Rattus norvegicus: one gene and its partners. The protein of the gene in region 3 binds, or shares a complex with, the protein of the main gene of each other region. Links are inferred from orthologs where the notes say so. Each region holds a gene or a part of one and is shown on either strand. Other genes may lie near its edges.

The links.
Region 1: Tbl1xr1 (region 3) and Gps2 share a complex: the UniProt entries of both Homo sapiens proteins name them as parts of the N-Cor repressor complex. The link is inferred for Rattus norvegicus from reciprocal best matches to the Homo sapiens genes TBL1XR1 and GPS2.
Region 2: Tbl1xr1 (region 3) and Hdac3 share a complex: the UniProt entries of both Homo sapiens proteins name them as parts of the N-Cor repressor complex. The link is inferred for Rattus norvegicus from reciprocal best matches to the Homo sapiens genes TBL1XR1 and HDAC3.
Region 4: Tbl1xr1 (region 3) and Coro2a share a complex: the UniProt entries of both Homo sapiens proteins name them as parts of the N-Cor repressor complex. The link is inferred for Rattus norvegicus from reciprocal best matches to the Homo sapiens genes TBL1XR1 and CORO2A.

Annotation. Positions count from the first base shown.
Region 1 is NC_086028.1:55,132,968-55,140,657, reverse strand, and holds Gps2 (G protein pathway suppressor 2), read right to left. Parts: upstream 4,453-7,690; 5' UTR 4,169-4,452; coding exon 4,075-4,168; intron 3,761-4,074; coding exon 3,651-3,760; intron 3,578-3,650; coding exon 3,465-3,577; intron 3,363-3,464; coding exon 3,283-3,362; intron 3,196-3,282; coding exon 3,113-3,195; intron 2,865-3,112; coding exon 2,711-2,864; intron 2,632-2,710; coding exon 2,542-2,631; intron 2,467-2,541; coding exon 2,387-2,466; intron 2,309-2,386; coding exon 2,213-2,308; intron 2,104-2,212; coding exon 2,020-2,103; downstream 1-2,019. Other genes in the region: Eif5a (eukaryotic translation initiation factor 5A-1), read left to right, coding at 558-662, 833-964, 1,055-1,117; Neurl4 (neuralized-like protein 4), read right to left, coding at 5,189-5,393, 6,275-6,440, 6,515-6,627, 6,780-6,924, 7,025-7,132, 7,236-7,323, 7,435-7,614. UniProt on the Homo sapiens protein: Key regulator of inflammation, lipid metabolism and mitochondrion homeostasis that acts by inhibiting the activity of the ubiquitin-conjugating enzyme UBE2N/Ubc13, thereby inhibiting 'Lys-63'-linked ubiquitination.
Region 2 is NC_086036.1:30,021,740-30,028,933, forward strand, and holds the end of Hdac3 (histone deacetylase 3), read right to left. Parts: intron 7,110-7,194; coding exon 7,045-7,109; intron 5,138-7,044; coding exon 5,048-5,137; intron 4,951-5,047; coding exon 4,892-4,950; intron 4,643-4,891; coding exon 4,563-4,642; intron 4,268-4,562; coding exon 4,110-4,267; intron 783-4,109; coding exon 713-782; 3' UTR 108-712; downstream 1-107. UniProt on the Homo sapiens protein: Histone deacetylase that catalyzes the deacetylation of lysine residues on the N-terminal part of the core histones (H2A, H2B, H3 and H4), and some other non-histone substrates.
Region 3 is NC_086020.1:106,728,069-106,735,843, reverse strand, and holds the start of Tbl1xr1 (F-box-like/WD repeat-containing protein TBL1XR1), read right to left. Parts: upstream 5,180-7,775; 5' UTR 5,066-5,179; intron 1-5,065. UniProt on the Homo sapiens protein: F-box-like protein involved in the recruitment of the ubiquitin/19S proteasome complex to nuclear receptor-regulated transcription units. Plays an essential role in transcription activation mediated by nuclear receptors.
Region 4 is NC_086023.1:65,649,253-65,657,031, forward strand, and holds the start of Coro2a (coronin-2A), read right to left. Parts: upstream 5,351-7,779; 5' UTR 5,197-5,350; intron 3,795-5,196; 5' UTR 3,678-3,794; coding exon 3,621-3,677; intron 2,050-3,620; coding exon 1,849-2,049; intron 1-1,848.

The DNA of each region.
Region 1 (7,690 bases), on a different chromosome or scaffold from region 3:
CTTCTCCTGGGTCATTGTCTTCAGATCTCTCTTAACATTCCTTTGCTTCATTTTTTCAGCCTCTTCCATTTGTCTTACTTAGCCCATTATATAAACATCTAAGAAACTTTTCCCTAGATACCTCCCCTTGTGTACTCCAGGATACCCTCAGAATCAAACTTCCTTCCACCTCTGCCTTTCCAGTGCTGGGATTACAGGCATGTGTCATGATTGGTTTATGTGTTGGTAGGCATCAGACCCAGTGCCCTGTGCATGCTGGACCAGCATTGGTATCAACTGAGCAATATTCTCAGTCCTTACCAGTTGACTTTTGGTAATTTCCATGTAAATTGAGTTCCCTAAGACTGACCTTTCCTTCAGTTGTTAACCCTCAGGTATTGGTCTCCAGGGTCAGGACTTTTAAGGCTTTAGTTATGCCGTTTTCACTTGGTTCATTTCTAATCCTTAATAGTCTTTACCGTAACGTGGCATTCTAGATTCTCAGGCAGTGACCCAAACATTTGTCTCATGCTTCAAAGATTGATTGCTGGGTATCTCTTTATGATGTATGTACACAGGTCCATCTGGTTGGTATTGATATTTTTACTGGGAAGAAATATGAAGATATCTGCCCGTCGACTCATAACATGGATGTCCCCAACATCAAAAGGAATGATTTCCAGGTGTGTTTTTAGGATGAAGATGGTTAGTGGCTTATGAAGGGTAGGGTGTGTTGGCCTGCACCTTGTGGGAAAGGATGTGTAGGGAAGGAAGCTGCTGTCACTGTAGTAGGTCCATCCAACCTCTAAACTTAACCTACCTTTTCCTTCCTTTTTTTTTTTCGTTCTCGCAGCTGATTGGCATCCAGGATGGGTACCTATCCCTGCTCCAGGACAGTGGGGAGGTACGAGAGGACCTTCGTCTGCCTGAGGGAGACCTTGGCAAGGAGATTGAGCAGAAGTATGACTGTGGAGAAGAGATCCTGGTATGGTGCCCCTTCCTTGCCTTTCTTTGGTTCTTAAGCATAAAGTCCCCGAGTTAAGGGCATCTCTGGACTGTCCTTTTGCTTTTCCAGATCACAGTGCTGTCCGCCATGACAGAGGAGGCAGCTGTTGCAATCAAGGCCATGGCAAAATAACTGGCTTCCAGGTGAGTGAACAGCCTTTTACTGTCCTCACACTCACGCCCTCACAACTTTGTTGAAGTTACAGTCCTATTTTAAACATGATTTTTTTTCTCTTGCCCAGGGTGGCGGTGGTGGCAGCAGTGATCCATGAGCCTACAGAGGCCCCTCCCCCAGCTCTGGCTGGGCCCTTGGCTGGACTCCTATCCAATTTATTTGACGTTTTATTTTGGTTTTCCTCACCCCTTCAAACTGTCGGGGAGACCCTGCCCTTCACCTAGCTCCCTTGGCCAGGCATGAGGGAGCCATGGCCTTGGTGAAGCTACCTGCCTCTTCTCTCGCAGCCCTGATGGGGGAAAGGGAGTGGGTACTGCCTGTGGTTTAGGTTCCCCTCTCCCTTTTTCTTTTTAATTCAATTTGGAATCAGAAAGCTGTGGATTCTGGCAAATGGTCTTGTGTCCTTTATCCCACTCAAACCCATCTGGTCCCCTGTTCTCCATAGTCCTTCACCCCCAAGCACCACTGTACAGACTGGGGACCAGCCCCCTTCCCTGCCTGTGTCTCTTCCCAAACCCCTCTATAGGGGTGACAAGAAGAGGGGGGGGAGGGGACACGATCCCTCCTCAGGCATCTGGGAAGGCCTTGCCCCCATGGGCTTTACCCTTTCCTGTGGGCTTTCTCCCTGACACATTTGTTAAAAATCAAACCTGAATAAAACTACAAGTTTAATATGAAGCCCCCAACTCAGTTGTTTTTGTTGACTGAAAGATGCTTTATAAGAGACAGCCTTTTGTGGTTTAGGAAGCAAATAAACAGTACTCTGGCATGATGGTAGGTAGATTTTGTACATTTTATTCGTTTGGGACACATAAGAACCCACCCTGAGGGATGGAGGGTGGGTTGGAGTTATCTGGTGGTTACTTGTGATAGAATCGTGGGTTCTGGCTGTGTTGGATGAAAGGGAGTCGAGGGCCCGGTTGGCTGGTGGTGGCAAAGCCTGACTGGGTAATAAGAGTTTTGTCAGTGGGTGGGTATTTCTCTGACTCAACACTCAGTACAGACAGTACTTGAGTTTACAGTCTCACATGTAGGATTGATCACCAGCCTTACCTTCCCGGCTGCTTGTATCTGTACAGGGAGCTGAGGGGAAGCCAGGAGTCCAGGGGCTGGATGCAGAGCTTGGGGATGCATGGGCCGCAGAGAAGACTGTGGGAAGAAGCTGACCTTAGGCATACTGGGCCCCCCTCATCTTAGCGTCTTGACCTCCCAAGGCTTCATACTCACTGAGTCAGAGAAGCTAGTCTGCTGGTTGGCATGCTCCATCTGTTTTTGCAAAGAGAGGGCACTACCGGGCTGGAGGAACCCTGAGGGGAGAAGAGTTAGAAGTGAGCAGATGGCAGTTGCAATGAGGCTAGGGCTCCTGCCCAGGGGGTTATCACCTGTCTGAGTGGGCTGAAAGTGGCCATGCACTGCATAGGGTTGTGGCTGTGGCTGAGATAGGTACTGCACCGCAGGAAATGCTGACGGAGCTAAGAAAGGTAGGAGATACCCATTATTAGATTTTTGTGTTCTAGCTGTTCCTCTGGTCTGAGGAGAACCAACACTCACCTCTCAGCTGCTGGCTAGGACTATAGGCTGGTTGTGTTGGCCCATAATGAGGTGGGGGCTGGGCAGTCCCATAAGCGCCCCCTGGACTGCCTTGGAATTGTCCATGTTCTGGGGTTCCTGCAAAAGCAGCTGCTGATCCCACGTAGTGCCGGGTCTAAGGGGAAATGAGGAACTCACACAATAAGTACATGCCTTTCTGCTCAGCTCCTGTGTACTGCTTGGTTTAATGATTGGGATGTCAGAAGAATGGGAGAAAGTAAGATGGGCTTAGTGACAGATGAACAGTGATTCCAATACACAGGAGGAGACATGGAGGTAGGGTCAGATTTCAAGACAATTCTTGACTAGTGACTTAAAAGCCAGCCTGAAGAGAAGGGGTTAAAAATTCTAAGACTCCCTCACCGTAAGCACTTGTGGTCCAAACATCTGCTTGGCTCTGTCAGCTGCCATCAGAGTACCTGGGCGGTTGTGTCCTCCAGGACTCCCTAGAAAGGGAGAGGTTTCAAGATGCCAAAATAAGGCTGCGACCTCCAGGAGAGCCCCCTCTGTTAGGCAGTTTATTTAGTCCTCACCCTGCATGCTGAGGAGGTGAGTTCCTGTATGAACCGTCAGGCTCTGCTGGTATGCAGCTGATGTCAGAGTGGTTAAGTCACTGGAGTGAAAGGAAGACAGGTCAGTTAAGTGTCCCTCCTGCTATTAGACTCTTGTCACCTGTGTGCTATTGCACAATTTTATTTTAGCCATCTCTTCACACCTCTGTTCCTTTCGCCTCCGTTTTTCTTCCTCATGCAAAACTTTCTTGAGCTGCAAGAAAAGCTGGTGTTTCTCTTCCTGTAGAGCTGAAAGCTTCTGCTGCAGTTTCAGAATCTAGAAGAGGGATAAGCAGATAAAGTAGGGAAAAGAAAGAAGCTAGAAATAGAAGTGATGAGAGGCGACTTACTTGTTCCTTGGTCTCTTCTAGTGACATTCTCTCTTCCATTTCCTTTTTCTTTCTTCTCTCCTGTTCTTCTTTCATCTTCTGTTCCATCATCTTGTCCACCTCTTCCTCCTCTGAAGAATCAGAACGGGGAAGTGGCAAGGCGGTGTAAATATAAGCTGAGCGTTAGACTGAAGACCAGCAAAAACCAGTTATTCCATCACAGCCACAGGGAGAACTTGGCTTCATTAGGTGCTCTCCAAGGTCCTTCCCAGCCCAGGGTTCTGGAACTTAGACTGGGCCTCTTCACTCACACCCCGAAGGCGCGCTGCCTCCCTCTTAGCCTCGCCAGCAGGCGCACAGCTGGGCCCGTGGATGGGGGCAAGTTCGTAGATAGCAGAGCCACCCTGGGCCGAGTGTCTGTCCTCCCGCTCTGGCCCAGGCTCACCCTGCCGTTTGCGCTCCCGCTCCATCATGATGTGCCGGTGCAGAGCCCTGGCCATGGCGTTGGAAAGCTTGGGGCGCTCCAGAAGTGCGGGCATGATGCTGTTGGTGACGCTTGGGCAGTGGGCACCCGACTCTGTCACTGATTGCCAGACCTCAGGCGGGGCCTGCAGGGAAGTGGGAGCTCAGAGGTACTGCGACCCGCCAAGGCGGAAGCCCGTCGGCCGCCCGCTCGCCACTTCGATCACGTGTCCCGGGCACCAGCGTCCCTCCCGGGTCTCAGCCTCAGCGCCGGCGCGCGTGCGGGGGTCTTAGACTCCGCGCCCCCGCCCCTCCCTCGTAGCCCTGGCGCCAACCCCCCTACCCGCCTTCTCGGCGCTTTCTCCGTGGCCTCCGGCGCGCCTTGGTCTCTACGTCATATCCGACGGTCGGACAAATCCTTCCGGAGTCACGACGGGAAACGACTCAGCGGATTGGACGAAAGGAAAGGCGGAAGTGCTTAGAGACGGGTGCCGGGATGTCCAAATTCCATGTGGGTTTACAGAGAGGCCTGGGAAGATAAAGCCCCTGGAACTCTCCACCTCGCAAGGCCGCAGGAGACAAAGGCAGAAGCAGATGCTCTGAAGACAGTATTTATTGGCTCCTTAGAAATCAGAGTCAGTAACAACTGTACAGAGGGCCCACAGCTTCCTCGGGCCGCCCCTTCCTTACCCACTCCCGCCTCATGGCGCCCGGTGGCCATGGAAAAAGCAGCTTCATGTGGGCACAGAGACTCCTTTGGGATTCACAGTAACCAGAAACAAAAACGGAAATAAATTAAGTGATATGGGGGAGGGTAATAATAGGGAGTCATGTTCCCCAAGTCAGTGCATGAAGGGGGGACCCAGAGACTGGAGCTGGGCTCCCTACAAGCTCCCTCTCGGCAGAGGGAGTGTGCTGGGCCCTGAATGTAGAGATGTGCTTCACACCTGGTCTAAATCAAAGCCTGTCTACGTGCTCCTCCGGCCAGGAAAGCACCTGTACATGCCATAAGTCACTGGAATGAGGTGGAGGCAGTCGTCATTCAAGAGTCCTGGGCTTGAGGCCCGGCTGTGCTTGGAGTAGTGGTATCTCACCCCTTATTCCACCCGTACCAGCAGGGCATAGAGGAGTGTGGCTCCCTTCTCCTTAGTGACCCACTCAAGTTCTGATGGGCTGAAGTGCTGGTCAGGAAGTTCTCTGAGGGCCGCAGAGGGAGGGCCAGGAGTATAGGAGCCAGGGCGCACACACACCTGAAAGGCCACCTGAGCCTGGTGTGTCCGCTGGGATTTTGGGTCCCGGAATCTGTTAGACAAGCAGAAACAAGAGGAGGCTTCTAAGGGCCGATGACTACTAATTCTGCTCCCTCCACCCAGGCCTTGCTGTTTTCTGGGAAATACTCTCACTGTGAATGGCTTAACAACAACTATTTTGTGTGTAGTACTCTCCTCCCAAGTCCTCAGTTAACCCCTCCATAGCCCTCTTCATGCATTTATTTACCCTGACACTCTATTTCAGGCCTGTCCCAAACACTCCAAGTGCACTTCTTGTCTACTTCACCACTTTTGTGAGACAGTACAGGGTCTCTATACTCCCTGGAATCAATCTCCCTATATAAGGAGAGGATGACCTTAAACTTCTGATCCACTGGCCCTGCCTCCTAGTGTTAGGACTCTAGAAATTTGTTACAATATCCAAGAACAGTTTATGCAGTGCATGGGGTAAAACCCAGCAACTGGTGTAGGACACTCTGAAAGACTTGGTATCCATAGACATTCAGGAAAGAAGGCATACAGCACACTCATCTAATCCCACACTCAGCACAGACGTGGAAACAGGAGTCAAGTGTTCAAAGCCAGCTTCGATACAAACCAAACATGAGTTTGAGGCCAGCTTGGATTACTTGACATCCTGTTTTAAGAAAAAAACAAAGGGAGCTAGAGAGATGGCTCAGTGGTTAAGAGCACTGACTGTTCTTCAAGAGGGCCTGAGTTCAATTCCCAGCACCACATGTGGCTCACAGCCAACTGTAATGGAATCTGATTCCCAGGTACCTGCCTTTAATCCCAGCACTAGAATCTCTGGGTTCCAAGGCTAACTTGACAGGTAACAAGCTAGGGTGGGAAAAGGGTGTGGTGAGAATCCTAAGTACCCTGAGCCCGTAGAGCTCTCCCACATGTACTCACTGCACTTTGGAGGCCAGGGTCTCTGCCCCAGCGTACTGAAGGGAGGGGGAGAGCAGCACTGCAGGGGGCTGCTCCTCCCGGGGAGGTGCACAGTTCTCACCAGGCTCCTCAAAGCCCACCCCAGGCTCTCCCTTCAAGGGTCGGCAGCTCAGGATGGAGGTAGTTCCTGTGAAGAGACCTGGGTGAGGGCAGCCCCGTGATTCCTCCTAGGATCCCTAAACCCAGCCCACTCCATGATACCTGCTCCCAATTCCCCTCGGTCCAGCACTCTCCGTACAACTGCTACGCTGCTTCCATGATAGGCCATGTGCCACTTCTTAGTAAGTGTGCCAGCTTCCAGATGGGGATTCACCCTAAAAGGACAGGTAAGACAGATAAGTCAAAGGTCACTGGCTCCTCAAGATCATCCCACAAAGTGGGTGCCATCCTCTTTTCCCTCTTGGGACTCTTCCTTTCTCAAGGAAAATAGCACAGAAGAAAATACATGTCTGTGGCCCATATGTACCTAAGATTGAACCTGCACCATCCAAAAGGCAGGGCATATTCTCGGGGAGGCTCTCCTCGGCGCCTGTGGGCCTCATCTCCTCGCAACTTCCGGCAAGACTCACAGTAGCATAAGCTACGCTTTGGTGGAGGCATGAAATAATCTTCTGTGGGACAATGATTGACAAGCTTGGTGCTCTGGTCCTGGGTCTCAACCAGGGTCCAGAGCCATGAGAACAAGGCAGGCTCTGGAGGATTAGGACTCACCAGGAAGCAACAGCAGTTCTTGGAAGCGGGAGCAAAGGGCATGGTACTCGCAGCTCTTTAAAGGGCTAGCAGCAGGCGGTGGACCCCAGCACACACTCTCCTTGATACCTAGAAGAGTAGGGAAGGAAGTCATAGGAACTGGGCTGGAAGTACTGGATAGGGTATGGGTGAACAGACAAGGGCAGGATACCATCCCTTTGGGCTAGCGCACCGTCTACCATATCAGCTTTTTCCATGTCCCCTTGGGTTCCAGCAGTCTTCCCACTGGCAGTCCCTGGGTCAGGGCTCACAATTGTCACCTGCAGAGCAAAGTAGTCAGCTGCTGATTGACAGGTCCCTGGATCCCTTTGTGTACCAGAAGCTTTCTAGGCTCCCAGGACTCCCTTTTCCTCTTCTCTGTTGCCACTAACCTGCTCACACTGTCCATAGAGGTCCACAAGTGCATGGCATGGCTGGGGCACATCTGGTACAGCTACCCCTTGGTCCACCCCGTTGATGTGGAGATGGAGCCCTCCAGAGGAGTCTAGCCTCAGTCCCAGGATGGTGCCTTCAGGGCAGGTGTCAAGATTTGGCCCAAACTTCTCACAGATCTGAGAGGAAAGACCTACTGTCCTCAGACATCAGTCCCTTGTCACCACCACACCAGCAGCCATCTTGCCCTTTTAC
Region 2 (7,194 bases), on a different chromosome or scaffold from region 3:
AATCTGCCCAGGTTAATTTAACTCTTCAGCAGAAATGTCCTATTAATTCACTTGAGTAAAATAATCCATGGTGAATACACACACAGGGCCTAACATAAAGTACTGAATGGATGTTAACAAGTTTATTATACACATCGTCATCTCGATTTCCTTTTCCCATCATACATTGGTAACTAGCAAGAATTAAAATCCCAGAAAGGTACAAAAAATACCAATTGGTTTATTAGATCAAAAACAGTAAAATGGACATAAAGCCGGTTGGAGCTTTACACCCTCTCCTCCTTGCACCTGTACCTCCTCAGCAGTTAAGGTTTCAGAGAGCCATGCCTTCCTCCCCTCAGGTTCACCTTGCATGGAAGCAAGAACTGCAGTAGAGAACCCAGAAGGAAGTCAGAGGGGACCTTAGTACCGTCCAGACTTTCATCTCTAACAGTCTCTGTGCTGGAAGGACAGAGGAACAAATAAGGGGAAGAGGGGCTGGGGTCAGCTGCTAGGGCTCATTACCCATAATGTTCCAGAGACCTGTCCATCGGGTATATGAGAGTTTGAGGAAAGGGGGTAGTTGACTCTAGAACCAGATGTGGTTTCCAAACCCGTTACCAGAGTTAGTAAACACCCTGGGGATACCCAGTTCAGACCTGGGAGAGCAATACTTTCCTTCCCACCACAGAGGTGACAAGGAACTCTTGGGGACACGGCATCCATGCTGCTCTTAAATCTCCACATCACTTTCCTTGTCATTGTCATGGTCTCCATCATAGAATTCATTGGGTGCTTCTGGCCTGTAAAACAAGGGACAAGAGATTAGGAACCCACTCTTCAAGTTCCAGACTCCTCCTAACTCCCTCCTCAGAGCCAATTGTTCATGTGAGTCTTCTCCAAAGCCACTTACTTCCTGCTTGCTGGCAGGGACTTACTGCAATCTATGTATTCAATAAATGGAGACTCCCATGTGCCAGGCACTTCTGTAGGCCTTACCAAAACAGCAAAGAATCAGCCAGACTAGATTTCCATACAACCTCTCAAAGCTTATCTCATGAGACTAGCAATAACAAAACAAACGAAAGAATACAATAATTTCAAATGGTGGAGTGTTCTACATGAGTAGCCTGAGTCTGGTGTGAACAAGAAGATAACACTGGGCCTACAAAATAGGAGACCATTCTGAGAATGAAAGGCCTGAAGTCTATGAAGAGGCTGGTCAGACAAAGATCCTACCAAGCCACAAGAAAACCAAGTACAGAAGTCACGAGTGCCAAGGAAACTGAGCCATTCCTAACAACAAGGATGCCAGTAATTCTGCAGTTCATGTGAGCAGACCAATGTTTCAAAAGGTAAGGATCTGTGTGCAGGGCATGTTCAAATGGCTACTTCTAATTACGAGGAGAAGGAAAGGTGTGAGCTGAGACTGATGCAAAGAAAGTGTCTCAGGGTTTACTGCTGTGAACAGACACCATGACCAAGACAACTCTTATAAGGACAGCATTTAACTGGGGCTGGCTTACAGGTTCAGAAGTTCAATCCATTATCATCAAGTCAGGAACATTGCAGCATCCCGGCAGGCATGGTGCAGGAGGAGCTGAGAGTTCTACATCTTCATCTGATGGCTGCTTGCAGAATACTGGCTTCCAGGAAGCTTGGATGAGGGTCTTAAAGCCCATGCCCACAGTGACACACCTCCTCTAACAAGGCTACACCTTCTAATAGTGCCACTCCCTGGGCCAAGCACATGCAAACCAACACAGAAAGGAAGGCAGTAAGACTGACAGAGGAGCAGTACGAGGGTAGGACTGACATGAAGGGATGCACAAGTGGAAGACTGACATTCCATTAAAACTACCATGAGGGGGGAAGTGATAGCAACACAGGGCTCAGAAAGTACTCGATACTGGTTTCCTTCTCTTTGAAAAACTTCTCTAAAACAGACAATTAGGAAGTCACTGAAGAGAAGCAAGGAACTAAGGCAGGCAGGAAGGCCATCTCTATCACCTCTAAGAGCCCAGAGTGAAAAGTGAGGAGTCAGTCACTCAGGGTAACTACGGAGCTCTAGAAAAGTTACTTGATCTCTCTGAGCCATGGGTCCCTCCTCTAGTCCTCTGAGGATAAGACCCATCTCTTAGGGTTATGCAGAAAGTAGAGCCAAAGTAACTATAGATGAAAAAGCCAAACCCAGACAAAAGGAGAACTTAAAAACAGATGTCGCCGAACCAACCTAGACAATGGTGATCAGCTTCTAGAACTCAGGCTTTAGAGAGCTGTAGACAGATGCTAAGGAATGGATGACTAGACAGAGCCTGAACCAGATGTTTAGATACTTCCTCACCCAAGCCAGGGAATGGGGAGGCATCCAGGGAAGAGGAGGACTAGAAAGTCCCAAGGGTCAAGACCAAGTCCAGAGGACAGAAATGGAGGCCAAAATTCTGTGACCCAGAACAGACTCAGGAGGAACTGAGATGTCACCACAGCTGCAGCACAGCCAGCTTCAAGCCCATGACAGAAGCACAGCAACTCAGATGGTCTCAGTCCTGCAAATGCATCTGGTCCCTACTAACCCCATCTCTTCCATCGTTCTGGGTTCGGTTGTCTGTTGTCCTTTCTCATCATTTTCTAGAAATTTCTTTGAGGATTAACAAACAACAAAAAGATCTATACTAATCTTGCCTTATTTCATTCTAACTATAAATATTTCAACATAGATCTATGAAGATAAAGATTATTTATACATATACATGCACACACACACCTCACTCAATACAACTCATAAATCTAGAAAAATGAACTAAACAAATGTAGAAACCCTATAAAAGAGAATGTGGGCAGTGGTCTACTGTTCACTGCTCAGAATGGAGTAAAATGCTGGCAAACGTAAATAGGGAGCGAGAGAGACAGCTCAGCAGTTAGGAACACTTGTGGCCATAGAAAAGGACCCAGGTTCTTTCCAGCACCCACAGAGCAGCTTACAACCATCCTCCAGTTCCAGGAGATCTGACACCCTCTTCTGACCTTAGCAGGCACCAGGTACACAATGGTGTACTTAAATACATGCAAGTTAAACACCATACACATAAAATAAATCAATCTAAAAGTAAATAAAAGATTTTTCTTAAAAAGATGTAAATAAACCACTAAATTCTTTCTGGAAGGTAATTTGGCAACATTAGAAAAGTTTTACTGCATATGCCATTTTCCCTACAGCAACAGTTATGAATATATATACATATACATGTATATGTATATATATACACACACGCGTGCGTGCACACACACACACACATATATATGTGAATATATATATTTTATATATATATATATGTATATATATATATTCAGTGCCGCAGTCCTTATTGTTTTAATAGCCACAAAAAGGGGGGGGTGGGGGAGTGGGATGGAGAGTAACGTAAATATCCACAAGTGGTAACTGACTGCCCTTGTGATCATGTGGTCACCACACAATGGAATTATACAACTGAGAAACAATGATCTCTATACCGACATGGCACACACCCTTTCAAAGAAAAAAACAGGCAAACACAACTCAGAGCAACATATAGAAAATATCCTTACTCATAGTAACAAGAACTTTATAAACAAACTGGGTAGCATTTAGAAACCCGAGGCAGGAGGATTATTATGAGCTCAAGGCCAGCTTGGGCTATGATAGTGAAACCCAATCTCAAAAATACCAAGAAAGAGCAAGGCATGGTGGTGCATGTCTTTAATCCCGGCACTCATGAGGCAGAGGCAGGAGGATATCTGATTTATAGGCCAGCTTGGTCCACACAGAGGAAACCCTATCTCAAAACCCAAAAACAACAGCAACAAATCAAGAAAAATAAGTAACTGTAGAAATAAAATTCTGAATGTGCACACGTGCATATAGTGTTCTTATAATCTATAGAAATTACCTATCCAAAACCACATGAATCAAACCATAAATAACAGTTACTGCCATGGAGTAGTCCTGAAACTATGTAAATACAACACATTTTGATGTATCTAAAAGGGTCAAAAGAGAAAAAAGCTTGCAGCCTAAAGGAAATCAGCCAGGGCCAGGCGAACTCATGCCTTTTCTGCAAGCCTGAGGAACCACCCGCTCTCTGGCCCCAGACCTGCTGTAGTTCTCCTCAGGACCTCTCTCTTCAGCATCGGCCTCGTCAGTCCTGTCATAGGTCAGGAGATCTGCTGGAACATCATGAATCTGGACACTGGGTGCATGGTTCAGCATCTTCAAGTTTTCAAAGATGGTCTGGCGGATCTGGTCTAGATACTAGTTTAGAAGAAAAGAGTCAACAGTGCCAGGGTGATTGCCATAGTACATGAAATTCTATCCGCCTTCTACCATGACCATCCTGGTTTAAAGTAGTATTTCAAGGTCAGATCCTCAGTTAGTGACTGTCCCTTCCCAGCAACCCAACTGTTTGTCCTTTATCCAGGGCTACCACATGATAAGAGTGACAGTGACAGCCCAGAACTTCCTTCCCTTGCTCTCTCCATTTCCCACCTCCGAGACCTCTCCTGAGCCCGCCCAGCATTGCTGTGTCCAGCTTCCCCAAGATGCTAACCTGGCGTGAGTTCTGATTCTCGATGCGGGTGCTGACATCTGGATGGAGCGTGAAATCTGGGGCAAAGTACTCGAAGTATTCTTAGAGATGAGAAGCAATTGGGAGAGGGATGAACGAGAGTATGGCTGAGATACAAAAGACTGAATCCCATGGCTTTCCGATCACCTCTCTGAGTCCTGGTCCCCATGTGTAAGAGTATTTGCTCTGCTCTGAGCACAGGGGTTTAGTCTGCAGAGCTCCCAGAATGTGCAATTTCCCTTCAAACAAGGTCATTCTGAGGACTGGTGAGAATGGGCCCCCTGTGGGGGGCATCATGAAGTGGACCTTACCACTATAGGGAAGTTCCTCACTAATGGCCTCTTCTACCAGCAGAGATGTTTCATATGTCCTGAAACCAGCAAGCAGAGGGGTAGGGCTGAAAGGACCACCCCTCCAATTTCAGGGAGTTTATCATGAACTACAGAGGAGCAGAGTAGAATACTCACCAGCACCGGGCAACATTTCGAACGGTGTAACCACCACCTCCCAGCACCAGGAGAGGGATATTGAAACTCTTGACATATTCAACACATTCCCTGTTAGAAGCAACAAGAGGACTAGGTGAATCCAAGACACGTGACCACCGATATGCCTTGAAATACTGGAGGAAGACTTGACCAACAATATTTCTCTGTCCTGTTGTGTAGTATAACTCAAAGTTGCATTCTTTGGGTGTGACTACTTGTACAAATGTGTGAGTCTTCATATGTGTGCCAGTGCACGTGTGTCTGAGGATGTGTGCATGTGTATTCACATGCTAGAAGACATCTTCAAGTGTTGGCCTAAAGGCACTATCCATTTTTTTTTTTTTAACCTGGAACTTTCCAAGTAGGCTAAGCTGGCTGGCTACCAAACCCTATGAATCTTCTGGTCTCTACTTCACCAGGGCTGGGATTATGGATCATAAATGGGTACCGCCAGGCCTAGTGTTTTCACATGAGCTCTGGGATCAAACTTGAGTCTTCATGGTTGTATAGCAAGCGCTTTTACTGAGGGTGCTATTCACCCTGTCCCCATCTGATATCCTCCTGCCTCTGAGCTGTGCGCTCAGGATTAGAACTCCTTGGGTAGTATTGCTCAACATGTGGGCCAAAACCATGGGAAAGCACAGAGTCCCAGTGGTCTTAGGAGACACCACTCAATAGCAAGATGACAGTTATAAAATGGCAAGCAACAAAAATAAAGTTATAGCTGGAGGGTCCTATGTGTTTTCCCCTGGTTCAGACCCACAGGTTGAGAACCACTGCGTTAGGGCTAAAGCGCCATCTCAACATTAGTGTTTACTGCTTTCCTAGAGGCCAGAGTTTCAGTTCCCAGCACCTACACCGGGAAGCTCACTCCGATAGGTAAATTCCAATACCCTATTCTGCTACTGGGGACACACACACACACACACACACACACACACACACACACACACACAAATATTACCTTTTAAAAATACTAGCATACTTTACTATTTTGTGTCTCAATAAAAATTTTAAAATAAAGCACACCCCCACTCTGTCTTGCTTAATACTCCCTGTGCACCTTACCTGCTACCCACTACTCTCATCAGGGTCACAGCCAGAATGTCTAAGCTTCAGGGTACACCTTCAAACTCTCATACTTCTCTCTATCAACACGTGCCTGCCCAAATAACGTTAATGCTTCCTAGCTAGCTGCCCACTACCTGCCCTGACCCAATTCCCACACCAAACCTTTCTTCATTTAGCAGTCAGAACAGCAGCTTTCAAACTCACTGGACCCTGTCACTTCCCTGGGTAAGGTCCTTCACTGGTTTTCTATCACCCATGAGTGCCAGAGTCTGACGCTCTGCACACTCTCAGCCTGGCCAGCTTACAGCACCTGACTGTTCTGGCCTCACTGGTTTTATTGCCAAGACTCCTTTCAGTCTTAGGGCTTTACATTGGCTCTTCACACTGCTTGAGGCAGGATTCTCTGTTCTCCTTTTATGGTTCACTCCTTAGTCTCCAGGTCTCCCATTTCATCTTTTCAGAAAACCTTTCCCAAAACATGTCATCTACAGTACATTCCCAAACCAGGTATGGTGTGACCCGAGTTTATAGTCCCAGAATCTGGGAGCTTCAAGTAGGAGGGTCACAAGTTCGAAGCCAGCCTGTGCCACACGGTGAGACCTTAAAAAAACTGTATAATTAAAAAGTAGATTCCCGGGGTTGGGGATTTAGCTCAGTGGTAGAGCTCTTGCCTAGCAAGCGCAAGGCCCTGGGTTTGGTCCTCAGCTCCGAAAAAAAAGAAAAAAAAAAAAAAAAGTAGATTCCCTGCTGTTACCCTGTCTTATTTTTTTCATTAGATTTTTCATTGTATGTATGTGTATTTATGTATGATTTAATATATACACATATACATACAATAATTAATAATAATGATAACAAAAAATAAAATACAACTTTAAATAACAACAACAAGAAAGCCAACGCACCCATGTCCTCGAATGCTGAGATTGAAGCAGCCTAATCGATCACAGCCCAGGGAGTCAGCGCCACACTACAAAAAGAAAAAACACAAATGGCTACAATAACATGGATGATCAGAACATCAGTGTCCTCCAATGTCCTTCCTCACCAATTTT
Region 3 (7,775 bases):
TGCAGGCCACCATGGAATAAGAGTAACACCCCCACACACACAAAAAAAAGAAGAAAGAAATTAAATGCCTTAGGTCACAGCAGGCTTATTTTACACAGCTACTCATTTTACTTTGGTAAGCTGAGCATTTTCTTAAAATGTATTATACACTGAGATTATTTAAATATAGAGTAACGCGGGCTGGAGAGATGGCTCAGCAGTTAAGGGCATGTACTGTTCATATAGAAAACCCAAGTCTGGTTGCCAAAACCCAAGACAGGAAGCTTAACTCCTGCTCCAGAAGAGGCACTGAAGCCTCTGGTCTCCATAAGCAGCTGCACTCACATGCACAAAAGCACACATAAAAATAAATACATGCACATACCATAAAATAAACAGAAAAGGTCTTTTACATTTCCAAGACAGGGCTTCTCTGTGTAGCCCTGGTTGTCTTGGAACTCTCTCTATAGACCAGGCTGGCCTCAAACTCATAGAGAGATCCGCCTGCCTCTCCCTCCGTGGACTGGAAAGTCTTAGAATAAATCTTAATTAGATCTTCTTCCTCAGAAACTACAATGTTCCCGATATTTGTATAAAGAACTTGCTGCCCTCCCCCAAGTGATGGTCTTAAGTGCCAACACTTCCCTACTGTGGCGCTTCTTCTGAGGACAGACTCCATCAGCATCCCACTCCCTAGATGAACTGAAGAAAATCACAGATGTTATCAAAAGAGAACCCTCAGTCTTCATTTAAAAACAGGTTCATTTGAAAAAGCTGGGTGACAGAGCCGAAGAGATAAATGTCACTTCTGAGTAAATGGCAATCTTAAGTACATCCAGAGTGGACTAAAGGCCCAGCCTTCCAGCTATAAATGGCTACCTCTGTCTGTGCCCAAGCTTACCTCCCCCAGCACTTGGGAGCAACAAATTCTAATACACTATGGGATCCCTCTCAAGCTACACTGCTCAGAGTCCTTCAGGGAATTCTCAGGTAAAGTAAAGTAGTCCTTAAATTCAGATACTGTCATTACACTTCAAAGTCAATAAAGGAAAGGCTATTATGACGCAGCAAAACTAGCTAGACTATTGTGTCAAGACATTCCTGGTACTCAGGTCTGGTTCTGGCTGTACAGTCAGTCAAGCGAGCGTGCTGCACTTCCCAAAGGGAGCAATTCAGTAAGATTGCTGTATTCCCTACGTCAATGAGGTCCCTTCCTGAATCAACCCTTTTGAGAACTTGCTTTGGGCTTTCATAGCACAACTTGCCTGCATTATGACTCAGTGCCAACTTTAGAAGTAGATCAGAGTTAAACACCACCACCTCCCAGGTAAATGTAGCTAGAAGTAACCTCCATCAATGTAACTGGGAGGTTTAGCTCACCTCCTATTACTGAATGATGACATATCTGGATTGAAAGAAACGAAGCGTAACTTGTTGAAATCTAGTATCTTAGCACAACTATTTTAGTATCAGTTCTTCAACTATTTTTTTCAGATTGATATAGCTGCTAAGAACTAGCTACAAACATTATGTAAACACCAAAGTAATCTCATCTCCTCTAGCACACCGTAAATCCCGGCTTCTTAAAGATACATATCCATAATAAAAGTAAATCCACTCTAAGTTATCAGTGGGTCAAAAAGAGTTAATGGGCTTAAAAATACTAAACACCTGCAAGTCTATTCCAGATACTGGGAGAGTGACAAGAGAATCAGAACCCATGCCTGCTCTCATCCAGGTTAAATACGCAGATAGGAGGAGGAGGTGTCAGTAGAAGAAAACACTCACACCATGTTTTTCATAAAAATGGTAAAATGGTAATAGTAACAAGAAACCTAAGCGTCACATGGGACGAGCACTACTTCAGTGTGCATGCCTATCTCAGGGCAGAGCCTGATACAAAGAACAAAGCAGCTATGGCAGGAGCAAAAGCATCCCTGGGTACGGAGCTGCCAGGGTTGTTCAGCAGTGCAGAGGGGAATCACTGTGAAGTTTGAGATGTGCAGTCAGGAAAGGTCAGTCCTCGCATACTAAAGAATAACTGTCCCCACTTTGCTTTTATTCACTGTGTTTTATTCTCATTACATTTTTGGTGGTAGTGGTGGTGATGGTGGTCTTAGTGTTCTTTTGTGTGCCATAGTCTTACATAGCCCAGGCTTGCTCTGTAGCCAAAGCTAGCCTTGAAGTTCTGATCCTCCTGCTTCCACCTTCAAAGTGTTAGCATTACAGGTGCAGACCACCGGACCACCATACTCAGCCTTTTTGTTTGTTGGTTCAATTTTGGGGACCAAATCTCACCATGTAGTCCTGGCTATCCGGGACTAACTAAGTAGACCAGGTTAGCTCCTGGTTGCAATCCTCCTCCTGACTCTGCCTTATTGAGATTACAGACTGTGGCCAGTTTGAGGAAATAGAAAAGGAAGGCAACAAATGTCAACAAACATCTCCACAGTGCCACACAGCAGCACATGAAGGTGTTTCTGCTACATATTCTCAAACTCCGACTGGTGGAAAATTTCAATTTACGTAAAATCAAATGCTGAAGACAACAGGAATTTAAAACAGAAAAATGGGGCACTCAAAACCCATACAACTAAGGAGACTAGGCTGATTCCATGACAGGCTTCAAACTGGCAGTTCAGGCGGCTAGGCCTAAATTTGTATCCAAGAACTGGGCAATTCCAGGCAACCCCAGGCCTCAGAAGCTGCCCTACCACCTGGCCTGAGGCAAGGACAATGGGTCAGCAGCATTTCCAGACTTCCCCCAGCAAGTTTACAGCCCCCACAGTCCCCAAGAGAATGTCCTTAGAGATGGGACCCAACAGATTAACATAAGGGTCACCAAACCCGGAATGCCCTAATGTGCTTTAAATCAGGCATAAAAGCTCTATTCTGGTAATGGGAGAGCCCAGCATGCTGGACTTCTGTAGAAAAAAAAAAAAAAAAAAAAACACTCTGCATTTACATACTATTGAGAGTTCAGGGTATCATTCTTTGCCGAATCATGGACCCTTACACAACTTTAAAACAAACATTACCAAAATTAACAATCCAAATTAAAACACTAGTAAAAATTTTAGTGGCTAATTTCTCAGGAGAAAAATGTTTAATTTCAGGTAGAAAAATAAAACCACTGTTTGACTGCTGGACAAGACTTGAACAGAATATCAGAATTGCAGTAAGACAAAAAGCCTGGATCCCTTAGAGTCACCCTAGCACCAGGGAGGCCGATGCTAAGACAGGGACTTAACTACAAATTTAAGGCCAAACTAGTCTACGTATCATTTTCCAGGCCAGCAGGACTATAGTATGGGGCTCTCTCCCAAAAATGAAAAGGGGGGAGGGTGTACCCCTGAAAAGGAAGAATTTAGTAACCTCCTGAGTTGCTCTACTGTTCCTCCTCAGGCAAAATAAGAACGAGGAGAGGGAGGGTGCAGAAGCCAGAGCAGCTGTCTCCTTAACGCCACAGAATTTCCCTGTTTTCCACACCCTGAACCATTCTTTTGAGCTTGTCCTCAAATTTCCACTCTACTTAAACCCATAACAAATATGCAGTATTTTGCAAGGAAAGGAAGTGAGTAAAGTAAATGAGTCTAAGCTTTCCTTTATTCCTGAACTCAGCAGCGTCCATCCTACTACCACATGACAACTCAACCCTCAGGCAGCTTCACACCACAGCCATTAAGTTACAGCATGTACACGTAAGTGTGATGTCATATGGGCATGTGGGCACGGAGTGCTGCCCACCATGCACAAGGGCAGGTCAGAGGACAACTTCGAGAAGTTGTTTCTCTCATTCAACATGTGAGTCCTACAGACTCAACTCAGACTACGATGAGTCTTGGAGGTAAGCAAACTTACCTCACTGGCCAACATCATAATGTTTGCTTAAAGATAACAGTACACTCGTCATCTGACAAAGGAACCCAAGAAAGACAAAGGAGTCATGAAGCACCACAGCCTGCTCTGCACAAGAGCTGACCCAAAAAGGAAAGAGACTGAGAACTGCCAAGTGCAAAAGCACATCCACAAGCAAGCAGAGCACAGCTACAAGGGGTCAATTACCCACCTAAAGGGTACAAAAGGAAGAGCCCAAAGGAACTAACCCCTCCTGACTTCCACCAGGGCAAAGTGTCAGCACAGACTTCTCATTGCAATATCCTTCCTAATTTAAAATTTACTGGTGAATTTCTAATTCTTTGAAAATATCAATGAAGTATTGTGGCAATCACTTTAGTTCATTCGTAGACTGGAAGCCCTGTTTCCTCAAATGCAGATCTGGTTCTGAAGAAATAATCAAGATGTTCCCTTCTGACGTATGATTTGAAAACGCCAGATCCTGACAGCTCACTTAGCTCCTCACCCCACACATTCCTCTACTCCCACATCTCCAGGAGCCCAAGTTTCGGATTATCTAGGAAGTTTGTATCAGTAGCTAAGGATGTGGCCAGCTCACAACTGTGGGAGCTACTTCTATTTCTCCCAACTCTGATCCTCTTTTCTCTTCTATCTGTTTTGTTGCAACTCATAATCATGAATGAAGGAACTCTGCCATCAATCAACATTCGACACAGACCAGAGAAGAAAGTAAAGTTCCTTACATGACACAGCAAGTGACTCAAGGGCTAGCAGGAAACAGAATTAATAATTTGTGCACTGCACAGCCTCAAAGCCCTACGTGTACACCACAGTGAAAGGGTGGGCCACCTAAGGTATATGGTGCTCCAAGAGCTCACAAAAAGACCAGAACCAAAGAGAAATGGTTTAGCAGGGAACCAGATTACAAAGAACAGGGAACCAACATGGCAGACCAGTCAATGACTCAATCAGCTATAACTACTAACCTCAGGTCCAAGTCTTCCTTACCTCAGTTGTGGGAATATTTCTTGTTTTAACAGCTTATCCTAACCCCTCACCTCCCAAAAAAGATTCTAGAGGTGGCCCAACCTACAAAACCAGACACCCGAGCAGATTCGGATAATCTTATACTTTGAACACAATGAGTTGAACTGCTAGGCCACCCTCTTTTCTGGGCTTATACGGCCTTCAAAGAGACAAGGGTCTGGAAGGACCAGAAACCGCACACATCATTTGGAAAGCCTCACCAATTCAGTACGAACAGAGTGCAGTTTGTACTTCACCAGGAGCTCCTGGTGAAACACTGGTAAGACAAGTGTCCTCAGGAAGGCCCTACCTGGTCACAAACAGACAACTGCATCAAGGACGTGTCTGCAGACATCTAGTCTAGAAAAAAGTGACAGCTCACGGACCCCAACACAAGACTTAAGGAAAAAGCCAGGCACACTGACCCACCTATGATGCCAACACTCAGGAAGCTGAGGTAAGAAGATGAGCTCAGGACTAGCCTGGGCTACGGAAGAATGTCATGGGCATGGAACAATAAATATGATCATAATTGATTTGTCTGAGTTCAGAATGTCAACTTTCTTTCTTCCTATCCTGAATACTGATTCTAAACTCATAAACATTGAAAAGTATATTCTATATTATCTCAAATCCACAGTTCCCAACTTCACTGAATTAATAATAGTATTAAATATTATAATCAATTTATAGGTTTAAAAAGAATGGTCATAGGCCATGGAGAAATGAAGCTGGTGACTGGAAGCCTTCTGCCTGCTTGCTCACTGTCATAGTACCGCCAGTTGTTACCCAGGCTGCTGGAGAAGAAACATCTTCAACAGTCTCACTGTGAACCCCATGAGCTGTAGTAATAACTAGCGGGGTTAGGATGTCCCTAGAGGTACAGTAGTGGCACATTATGTTACAAGGGTAGCCAGGGGCTTTTTTCTTTTCTTGTTTTCCTTTAATTGGTTCTAGGGCCAGTTCCACAGGAAGAAACTTCTATCTGGTACTCTAAGGTTGGCCAAGAACCCATGGCTTCTAAACCAGGGGTGAAAATACTATTACATTGCTAAATGAATATAATATCAAACTAGCTCTAGATAAATATCCGTACCCACACATTAGTGCAGCACTCAGACCTTAGGAGACAGCATCTTTGCGCAGTGGAGGATAGTTAATACACGAATGGTCAGAATACAGATCTGTGGAGTATTCAGCCATCTATGGGTCCCCAAAGTTCAGGGAGCATCAAGAATGAGTGGGTAGGGAAAGACTGCGAGAACCAGAGGTTCAGCAGGACTATACTAAACAGTGTCTCTAAACACGAAAGGACTGATGCCCTCACAAATTCTCCGCTGCTGTGGTTGCCTGTGTAAGACTTGCATAATTATCAAAACCAGTCAATATTCCAGTATAGAAGGGCTAATTAGCCCCCACCCCTAAAAGCTGATAATGACAGTTGATGGCTTCTGGGAGAGGGAGAGCCAGTTTTATCTAAGGGTAGATCAGCAATGCTCCACTGGCTGACCCCACACCAATGTGTATAGGAGCAGCAGAAATTGGACTAATTAGGGTAAGAAAAAAAAAGGTGACTTGAGAGAGAGAGAAAGAGGGAGGGGGGAGCACGAGCAAATAAACATGAAGTTGGGAAGTAAGGTAAGAGGTGGAGATACAGGGGGAAAATATAACCAAACCTGGGGGAGGGGGACAAACAAACAGGAGAAGTACAGAAAATGACTGTAGCCCAGCTCCCCCGCACCAACAACCCGTGTGCTTTATTTCAGTTACTTCTGCGAAAACAAACAGCATTGTTTCTTTCGCCCAGTGTTGAATGAAAATCAATGACATCATAGTTTTTCATGGCATTTACATATACATGGGAAATGACTGACCCAGGTGTGGAGAAAATGTGCAACTTATCTACTACGTTAGCAACTTTCCTCTTGAAGCATCAGTGTTAGCAAACACAACATAAAGCAGGGTGTCTGGGACAAACATGGTTTCAGATTCCTATAAGCTTCGCACTTGGCAAGGCATATCAAGGTATCTACTACATAACAATTTGCCAAACTGGGCTACCAGAAAACCTACCTGGGGGGGGGGGGGGATCAACACCAAAAATACCTACATATTTTAAACACAGAAAAACTCTACACTGCCCAATCTTCTTGGCTATACTGCTACTTCCCATACAAAGGCCAGCAGGGGGTGGAGACAGTTTGCTGAGAACCAGAGTTTAGCCTTCAGCACCCACATCAGGCATCTCACAACCATGTGTGACTACAGCTAAGACACCCTTCCCCAGCCTCAGAGGACACTGTACTCACATGCACAAACCCACACTCAGCACAGACACATCATATTTTAAAAACATCTCTTTTAATGTTAGGGCATGAGGCAGCAGCCAGCACAGAGACCTCCTCCTTGCCAGCCCCACACTGACTCCTTTACAAGCATCCTCATTTCAGCCCTCACAGCCAATCCGTGAACAAAGCTATCCTTTACTTCCACTACCAGATGTGCAAACCAACTGGATCACGTGATCTCACAAAACCATCCACAGATAAATAGGAGGGACAGGAATCAAGCCAGCACTTCCTGGAGCTGGGAACATGCTAGAGTAAAGTCTGCTGCCAATTCCAACAGACCCTGTCCAGTCTCCAGTTACCACTGAGAGAGGGCACGGCCTTAGGAAGGCTGACATACATCTTGTCAGTGCCACAGTCTTTAGCATGTATTCAAGTTACTCCAGCTGGGGCTGAAAATGAGGAACACAATAACTGGGAAGCCAGCCCCTGCGTCAGCAGTCTACATTACTAATGGGTAAGTACAAGTGACACAGCTCTAAGTGATAGCAACTGCAACCAAAAGCAGAATAGAAATCTAATGTTTCCATGGAGTCAATACAGTCCCTATGTTATATAAGATCC
Region 4 (7,779 bases), on a different chromosome or scaffold from region 3:
CCAGCTGGTCAGGAGATCCTTTAGGGCATCTCTCGGTGCTACCATGTCCTGTGATTAAAGTTAATGGGAAACTACAACAACACAATCCAGGCAGGATGACGAAGGGCCTAGATGCTTCAGGCTGTGCAAGATTAACAACGTGAATTTAATTCCCAGAAGCCACTTAAAAAGCTAGATGCCGGAGGCTCAGCGGTTAAGAGCACCCGACAACTCTTCCAGAGGTCCTGAGTTCAATTCCCAGCAACCACATGGTAGCTCACAACCATCTGTAATGGGATCCAATTCCCTCTTCTGGTGTGTCTGAAGACAGCTACAGTGTACTTGTATATAATAAATAAATAAATCTTAAAAAAAAAAGCTAGATGTCCTGGGTATGATGGCCCATCCCTTTAATCCCAGCACTAGAGAAGGACAGGCAGGTGATTACGGCTAACCTGGTCTACATAGTAGGTACCAGTCAAGCCACGGCTACCTTGGCTGTAACTTCATGAGACCCTGTCTACAAAAACTAGATAAACAAAACCAAACAAACAAGCAACCCCACCTAAACAAACAAACTGCTGGATGTGGCAATGCTCAGCTATGACCCAGCACCTGCATCCTAGGAAATCAGAGAAGGAGACAGAGAATCACCAGGCGTTGGATGACTGGCTGGCCTGGAGTAAGCTGCACAGTGCTAGAAACAATAATGAAGACCCTGCCTCGCCTCATGAGGCCCGGGGTGGGAACTGACTCCTGGAAGTCGCCCTTGGATTTCTACATTTGCATTGTGGCATGCAAGTGCCTCCCTTAACTCCCACACGGAGGAACATATACACCACAAATAAACAAACAACAATAACAAAATAAGCAAACCTTCATTTTGGGTCCCCCTTTGACTCACAAATTATTTAGAAGTGTGGCACACAACCGTAACTCACGGTGAGGAGGTGAACTTAGGAGGATGAGGTCAAGGCCAGCTTGGCTACATGGGAAGTTCCAGAGCTGGACTACAGGAGATGCTGTCACAAGCAAACAAGCAAGCAAACGGTCCACACCAGTGGGCACACGGGGCCTCAGTTAGCTGGTCTGCTGTTACTGGCTTCTATACCTGAGGTACTGTGATGAGGGAGCTGTCTCTGAGCTCATCTCCCTCCAGGCTTTGACCACACAGGTCCGTCAGTGCTCCAGGGCTGCTTCTTGCCTTTCCTCAGACTCTGGATCGCCAGTCTTTGTGACTTCCCAGGGTCCTTATCTAAGTCTGTGGGCTCCTTTCCTGTGGCCAGGCTCCCCGAACACCTCTCGTGACATGAGTAGAAACACAGCCTGGGATCACCTCTCTCCCAGGCCTCTTCATGAGTTCTGCTGAAGGCAAGCTCAGCTCTTGGATCCCACAAAGATCCCCTTTAGGGTAGATCTATATGAAGATGTCACTCCATGGATCCAAACACTGGGCAATGGCGATAGTTCCTGGGGCAAGCATGCTCTCACTGCTGGCTCTAGGGATAAGCATTCTCCTTTCTGCCTACTGCTTTCGAGCCTCCCACTCTCACCTCCTGACAAGGGGAGGTGGCTTCCGCAGTCTCCCCAATTTCAGTTGAGCCCAGCTAATTGTTCTAACAAGCATATTTCATTCAAGAGAGAAAAAATTGGAGCGAGCACTATTCTTGCGTGGATAAGAGACGGTCCTCTAAGTGGGCCAGCTGCTGAGAGCCCAAGAAGGAGACCAAGGGTCTAAGAACTGGCTGATGCAAGCTCACACAACTAGGAAAGCAGGCCAGTCTAGATCTTCAGTCATATCTGCACTGGGGACCTGGGCTTCCCACCTTGTCCATCTGTCCTGTAGACCTCTAGAGGCTGGGTCCTTACCTGGTGCAAGGGGATGACAAGGAAGGCGCCCCCACCGGCACATTCAGTGACCACAGCGATGAAGTGGGGGTTCACAGCACAGAAGTGGTTGTCGTGGACGCTGCGTGTGATGGGCACAGAGTCGTAGCAATTCTCCTTGCTGGCAGGCTTGCCGTAGACGTGTCGGAACTTGGAGCTGCGGTACTGGGGGTGCCATGACATCTGCAGGGGATGAAGGGACCGATAGTATAAGGCCCACCACCTCATCATGGAGCACAGTAGAGAGTACTTAACAGGCACAGCCTGGGCAGTGGTCTGGTTTCACTGCTGATTCTTTTTGAGGCAAGATCTTAGACCAGGCTAGCCTGGAACTCACTGTATAGCCTAGGATGGCCTTGAACTCATGATTGTTTTGCCTTAACCTCTTGAGTGCTAGGATTAGAAGCTGTGCAACCAAGCCTGGTGTTAGTGGCCAATTCTACAAAGGTCCACCCTGAGGGGAGAGAGGCTATCACAGTGGTTATAGAGACTATTGGTCATTACTATTCATTCATTTCCTGATCCATTAGAGCCTTTCTGTTTTTTCAAATATGAACCCCCAAAACAGAGGGACCACAGAATATTTGCTACAGCCCCCACCCCAACTTTCCTGCCCAACCAAGCTCTCCTGCCAACCAAGTGAGAACCAGTGTTGTTCTCTAAGGCTAGCCAGTCTGGCCTCCAGTTCTAACTTTGTCTCACTGTGACTTAACTCTGATGACTTAACCCTCGGAGTCTCTGTGTTCTTGTCTGTAAAATGGGACAACACAAGTCTGCCTCATAGACTTGTGTCTCCCCTCTGGAAAGGGAGCTGTTGGCCCCCACGAATGAAACCACCCAGTCCAGAGCAATGTGACCGAGACCGTCAATACCCATCTGCCCCACCCCAGGCTTTATTTCTATTGCCAAGGTTTGTCCAGACCTTTGAAATGGGGGAGAGGTCACAGAAGTGAGGGAGGATGGCATCTAGTAAGGTCAGGGCATGAGAGTGTCTGTATGGTGTGACCATGTGTGCCATGAGCCTGGCATTCATCCATCACAGAGCTCTGGGGTGCTGGCGTTGCCCCAGGTGTGTCTGGTGCCTTCTGCTCAGGGACCCGTTTGCACAAGGCTTTGGTGACTCAGCAACTCGGAGCAATGGTTTCACTTCCCCTGCCAGCAAGCTTTTGTCTGCCCTGCAGGCAGGGCCTACACCCCTCCACAGCAGCCTTCCCACTTCGTCCGTCCATCTGTCTGTAGTCCTGTGGCTTTATGCCATGGCATTAGGCTGGGGGCTGGGAACCGCCACCCTGAGAAGGCTTTAGTTGGCTCTAGGCTTAAACTCCTGGGAGTCATTTCTCTTAAGTCTGGCTGTGGACTGGCTGGAGACTGTCTCATCCCCTACAACCCTCCTGAGGTGGGGGCGTACTAACCATATCTGAGGATGGGAAATGGAGGTGCAGGGGAAGCTACGTGATAGAAATGGTACTGACATGAGCAGCAAATTGAGAATTCAAAGCTTAGCTACCTTCTTCCTGTGGGGCGAGTGTGCATGTGCACGTGCGTGCGTGCGTGCGTGCGTGCGTGCGTGTGTGTGTGTGTGTGTGTGTGTGTGTGTAAGGGTACTGTTGTGGGGTAAGCAACAGATTTTCCTGCCTGCTCTCCATGGCCCTCTTCTTCACCCAGCCCAGCAAGTAGCTGATGTGGAACCCAAGTTGGGAGGGGCGTGTTCCCTGGTGCCACTGAGGGTGGCTTCACGGTGAGTAGGACATTACCTGATTTGGTTTGAGCAGAGGTGGGCTGGGCCGGAGTTTGCTGTTGCCATTCCACATCTGCTAGCTCAAGTTTTTCTTTTGTTTCTTCCTCTTAAAATCTGACCTTGTGGGCACAGAGGCCGCTCCCTGTAAGTGCTTTGTGGGAGGGTCTGAAGCACCACCTTCTAACATAGCCTGGTTGATAGAGGGAGATTAGAAGGGCAAGATAGGTGTGGGACAGCTGCTCATAATCCTAGCGTGAGGGCCAAGAGTTTAAAGTCAGCTCCAGCTACACAGTGAATTCAAAGGCCAGCCTGAGGTACACAGCAAATTCAAAGACTAGCCTGGGCTACTCAGCAAGAACCTGTCACACAGAACCAAACCAAACCGAACCGAACCGAACCAAACCAAATCACACCACTTTATTTGAATGTGATCTTCAAAGACCAAGAATTAGTGCAATAAAACCTGATTAGAGGTGCACCCCACATGGAGCCAAAAATCCTTTGCTCTTACCCACACAGAGTGCATCATGGCCCTGACCATGTATGCTCCAACCCTGATGAGAAATCTCCCCAGTGGGATCAGAGGACAACTTTTGGTAATTGATTCTCTCTTTCCAGCTTGTTGAGGTAGGTGTTAATCTACCATGATGCCATAGTGGCCATCTGCAGGCCACAGTGGCTCTCAAGCTTCCAGCTGACTCTCCTGCCTCTGCTTCCCATCTCACTGTAGAAGTCTTGGCATCATGGGTGTGCGAGCTGCGGCATCTGGCTTTTCACAAGGGTTCCAGGCATTGAACCCAGGCCACCAAGCTTGCAAGGGAAGCTATTTTACCTGCTAAGCCATCTTGCCAAGTCTCTTTTTTAATACACCCAGAATCCCTAGTGAAGGCCCAATCCATACCGGATGGGGTGGGACAGCTAGCCTGTGGAGCCAATCAGAAAGCCTTAGAAGTCGACCCCTCCCCCCAGGTCAAGGCTATGTACTAATTCCTCTGCTTCCCCCTTCCTCAGCCCCCCTCCCCCAAGTTCTTTCTCATGGTGTCTTTCCTTCTTACAAGGAAGAAGGAAGAAACCACAGGTCCTGGCTCCTGGTAAACGTCGTTTTCTCAATACAGAGTCTCTCAATCTGAGGCCAAGCCCTAACTGAAACCACAACTTCTTGGCACAAGACATTTCAAATTCTGTCTTCTCTAGGCCAGCAATGAGCTCAAGTGTCACAGGGACTCAGGCAATTAGGACATCAGTTTCTGCCCCCCTATCTCAAAGGAACAAGAGGCCTGGTTTCTCCTCTACCAGTCTGCCAGGGACCATGGACAAGGAGGAGTTCTTGTGCTATAGCTATGGAACCAAGGTAGAAGGATTTCAGGTTCAAGACCAGCCTGAAAAATGTAGTAAGCATCTGCCTCAAAATAAAAACACGAGAAAAAGGTTGGGTGTGGTAGCCTGACATCTGGATTCCAACACTGGGGAGGCTCAGGTACGACTGCCACAATTTGAGGCTAGCCTGGACTACACAGTAAGAGTCCCCTCTCAGGAAACAAACAGAATGACAAGAAGGGTTTGGGAGGACAGCTTAGTGGCAGGATACTTACCTATCATGCGCAAGTCCCTAGGTGTAATGTCTAGGACTGCAAGAAAAATGAAAGCAAACCTAAAACCCCAAACCTGAGGACATTCCAGACACACAGGGACAAGTTCGTCGCTCTACCACAGGCTATGGGTAAGGCCCTGAGAGTTCTGATTTTGACGACTCGTCTGTGAAAGAGAAAGCTATGGAAACGAGCGAGTCCAGCATCCTAAACCAGAGACTAGAACATTCTAAAGCACAAAGTTCCAGAAGGTCTGTAAAGAGGTGACTATGATTTCATTCAATCACCAGTCCCTACCCAAGGGCTGGCTCAGGGCTTACTTAGTACCCAGGGCTGGAGGGCAAGGAATGAATGTCTGGGTCACTACTCTCATGTTACTGTTCTCTGAGGTCGTCCATTTTCTGGAAGTGCCAAGTCTGAGAGGAGACGTGGAATGGTGAACCCGAGGGCTGATAATAGGGTCGGCATGGCTGGAGACTCAGAACACTGGGATCGACTGAATTCTACCACTGGCTGGACATAACGGTTCAAGCCTCTCTAATTCTAGCACTTGAAAGGCTGAGGTGACAGGTACACAAGTTCAAGACCTGCCTGAGCCACAGAATTGCCTTCCCTCCGAAAAAGTAAACAAAACAAAACAAGGAAACAAATCCAGCGCACCCTCAGGTCCCCAGGAGATTCCTGTGTGTATTTAGTATAAAGATAAGAGAGACTTACAGGGACTGGGGACACAGCAGCTCATGGTAGTCTCCAAAGAGTGACATCACCAGAGAGCTTGCCAAAACCCTATGTTCTTGGGCCCTGCCCCACCCTACCCAGACAGAATCTGGCACCCCAGAATGCAGGGCAGAACCTGTTGTATCTTAATTAGTCTTCCCCACGGGCTCATGCTCTGTAATCAAGTCTGAGGCTTAAAGATATAATGGAGCCCTGAAAACACGGGTCAATCTTAGCAGCACAAGAGCTAAAAAAGCAACCATTTTGTGTCCCGTTCCTTACAAAGAGACCTTGACAAAACCCGAACCCAGTGCCAAGCAAGACAGGGCTTCTCTGTACACTGTCACACCAAGCCGGGTGAAAGTGTTCACCAGGAGGCAGTTGGCAATCTCCAGAACACAGGAAATCCTGTGGGTTGAAATTTCAAGCAACTCAAAATGACTCAAAGAGCTACACTGAAGGACCGAAACTATAAAATGCTTTGAAAAACAAAAGACCAAACTCAAGGTACTAGATTTGGTGGTGACCAAAAGCAGTCAACAAGAGAAAAGTCAAACTGGACTCAGGGGGCTTAAAGGACATGTAAAACACTCATGTATCAGGACACTATCGGTCGGGTAAGGGCAACAGGGACGATGGAGAGAGATCTAGGACGAGGACTTGGAAAGGGATTGACAGAACAAACAGAATCCCTCAAACCCAATGACAAAGAGGACAGAGTCCACCTGGCTTGGTGGCAAACACCTGTAATTCCAGCACTCAGGAGGCTAAAGCAGGGGGATTGCTGTGAGTCGAGGCTAGCCTGGGCTACAGAGTGAGACCCCCAATAGAGCAAAACAAAAATGTGAAAAAAACTGCCCTGTTTTTTCAACAGGTGATAAGGCCAACGGAACCGGTCCAGACTGGAAGAGGCTCCACGGGTGGCGTGCCACATGGAGTGGCAAACCAAAATCCTGATCCACAGCATCCTGCCACAGAAACCCAGTCTGAAGCAGCTGAACAACTGGATTGACAGTATTAAGTGATGTCACTAGCTGTCTTCAGGGGCGATGGCAACACCGTGGCTGTCAGCCTGATCTCAGAGACGTATGCAAAAGAGTCACCACTTAAATAACACAGCACCGGGGGCTGACTCTGAAACAGGACAGGGGACTGGAGAAGTGGCTTGCTTAGCACGTGCAAAGCTCCGGGTCCCATCCTCGGCACCACATAAAACCTGGTGTGTGCTACAACAATATTCCCAGTGTTCAGCAGGTAAAGGCAGGAGGATTGGGAGTTCAAGGGCAACCTTGGCTAAATCCATAGTTGGAGGCCAGCCTGGGGTATTTGAGACTCTGTCTCAAAAATAAAATAATAATAATAATAATAATAATAATAATAATAATAATAATAAAAGAAATAAAGGCTCCAGGCTCAACCCCCAGCATCCCCACAAATTATAATCAAGTAACCCAGTAGGAGGTGGGTGGCAGACTGCAAGATTTTCATCCAGACTCTAAGGGCTCTGCCCAACAGAAGCCTTTAGAAAAGTATTCTCAACCCGTGAGTCGTGACCCATTTGGGGAGCCCAAACGCCTTTCCACAGGGGTCACCTAAGACTATCAAAACAGATAGGTACGTTACAGTTCATAACAGCAAAATTACAGCTATGAAATAGCGACAAGAGTAATTAATGGTTAGGGGTTCACTGCAGCATGAAGTCGCAGCACCAGGAAGGTTGAGGACCATTGGATCTCAAACCGTACAACTTCTACACTAGCGTGAAAACTCACCACATTAAATAAAACCCAAACTCAACTGGGCAGACACAGCAGCCACACCTTCCAGTGCTCAGTGGCCACACCTGTCTCTGAATGGAGTGATCACAGG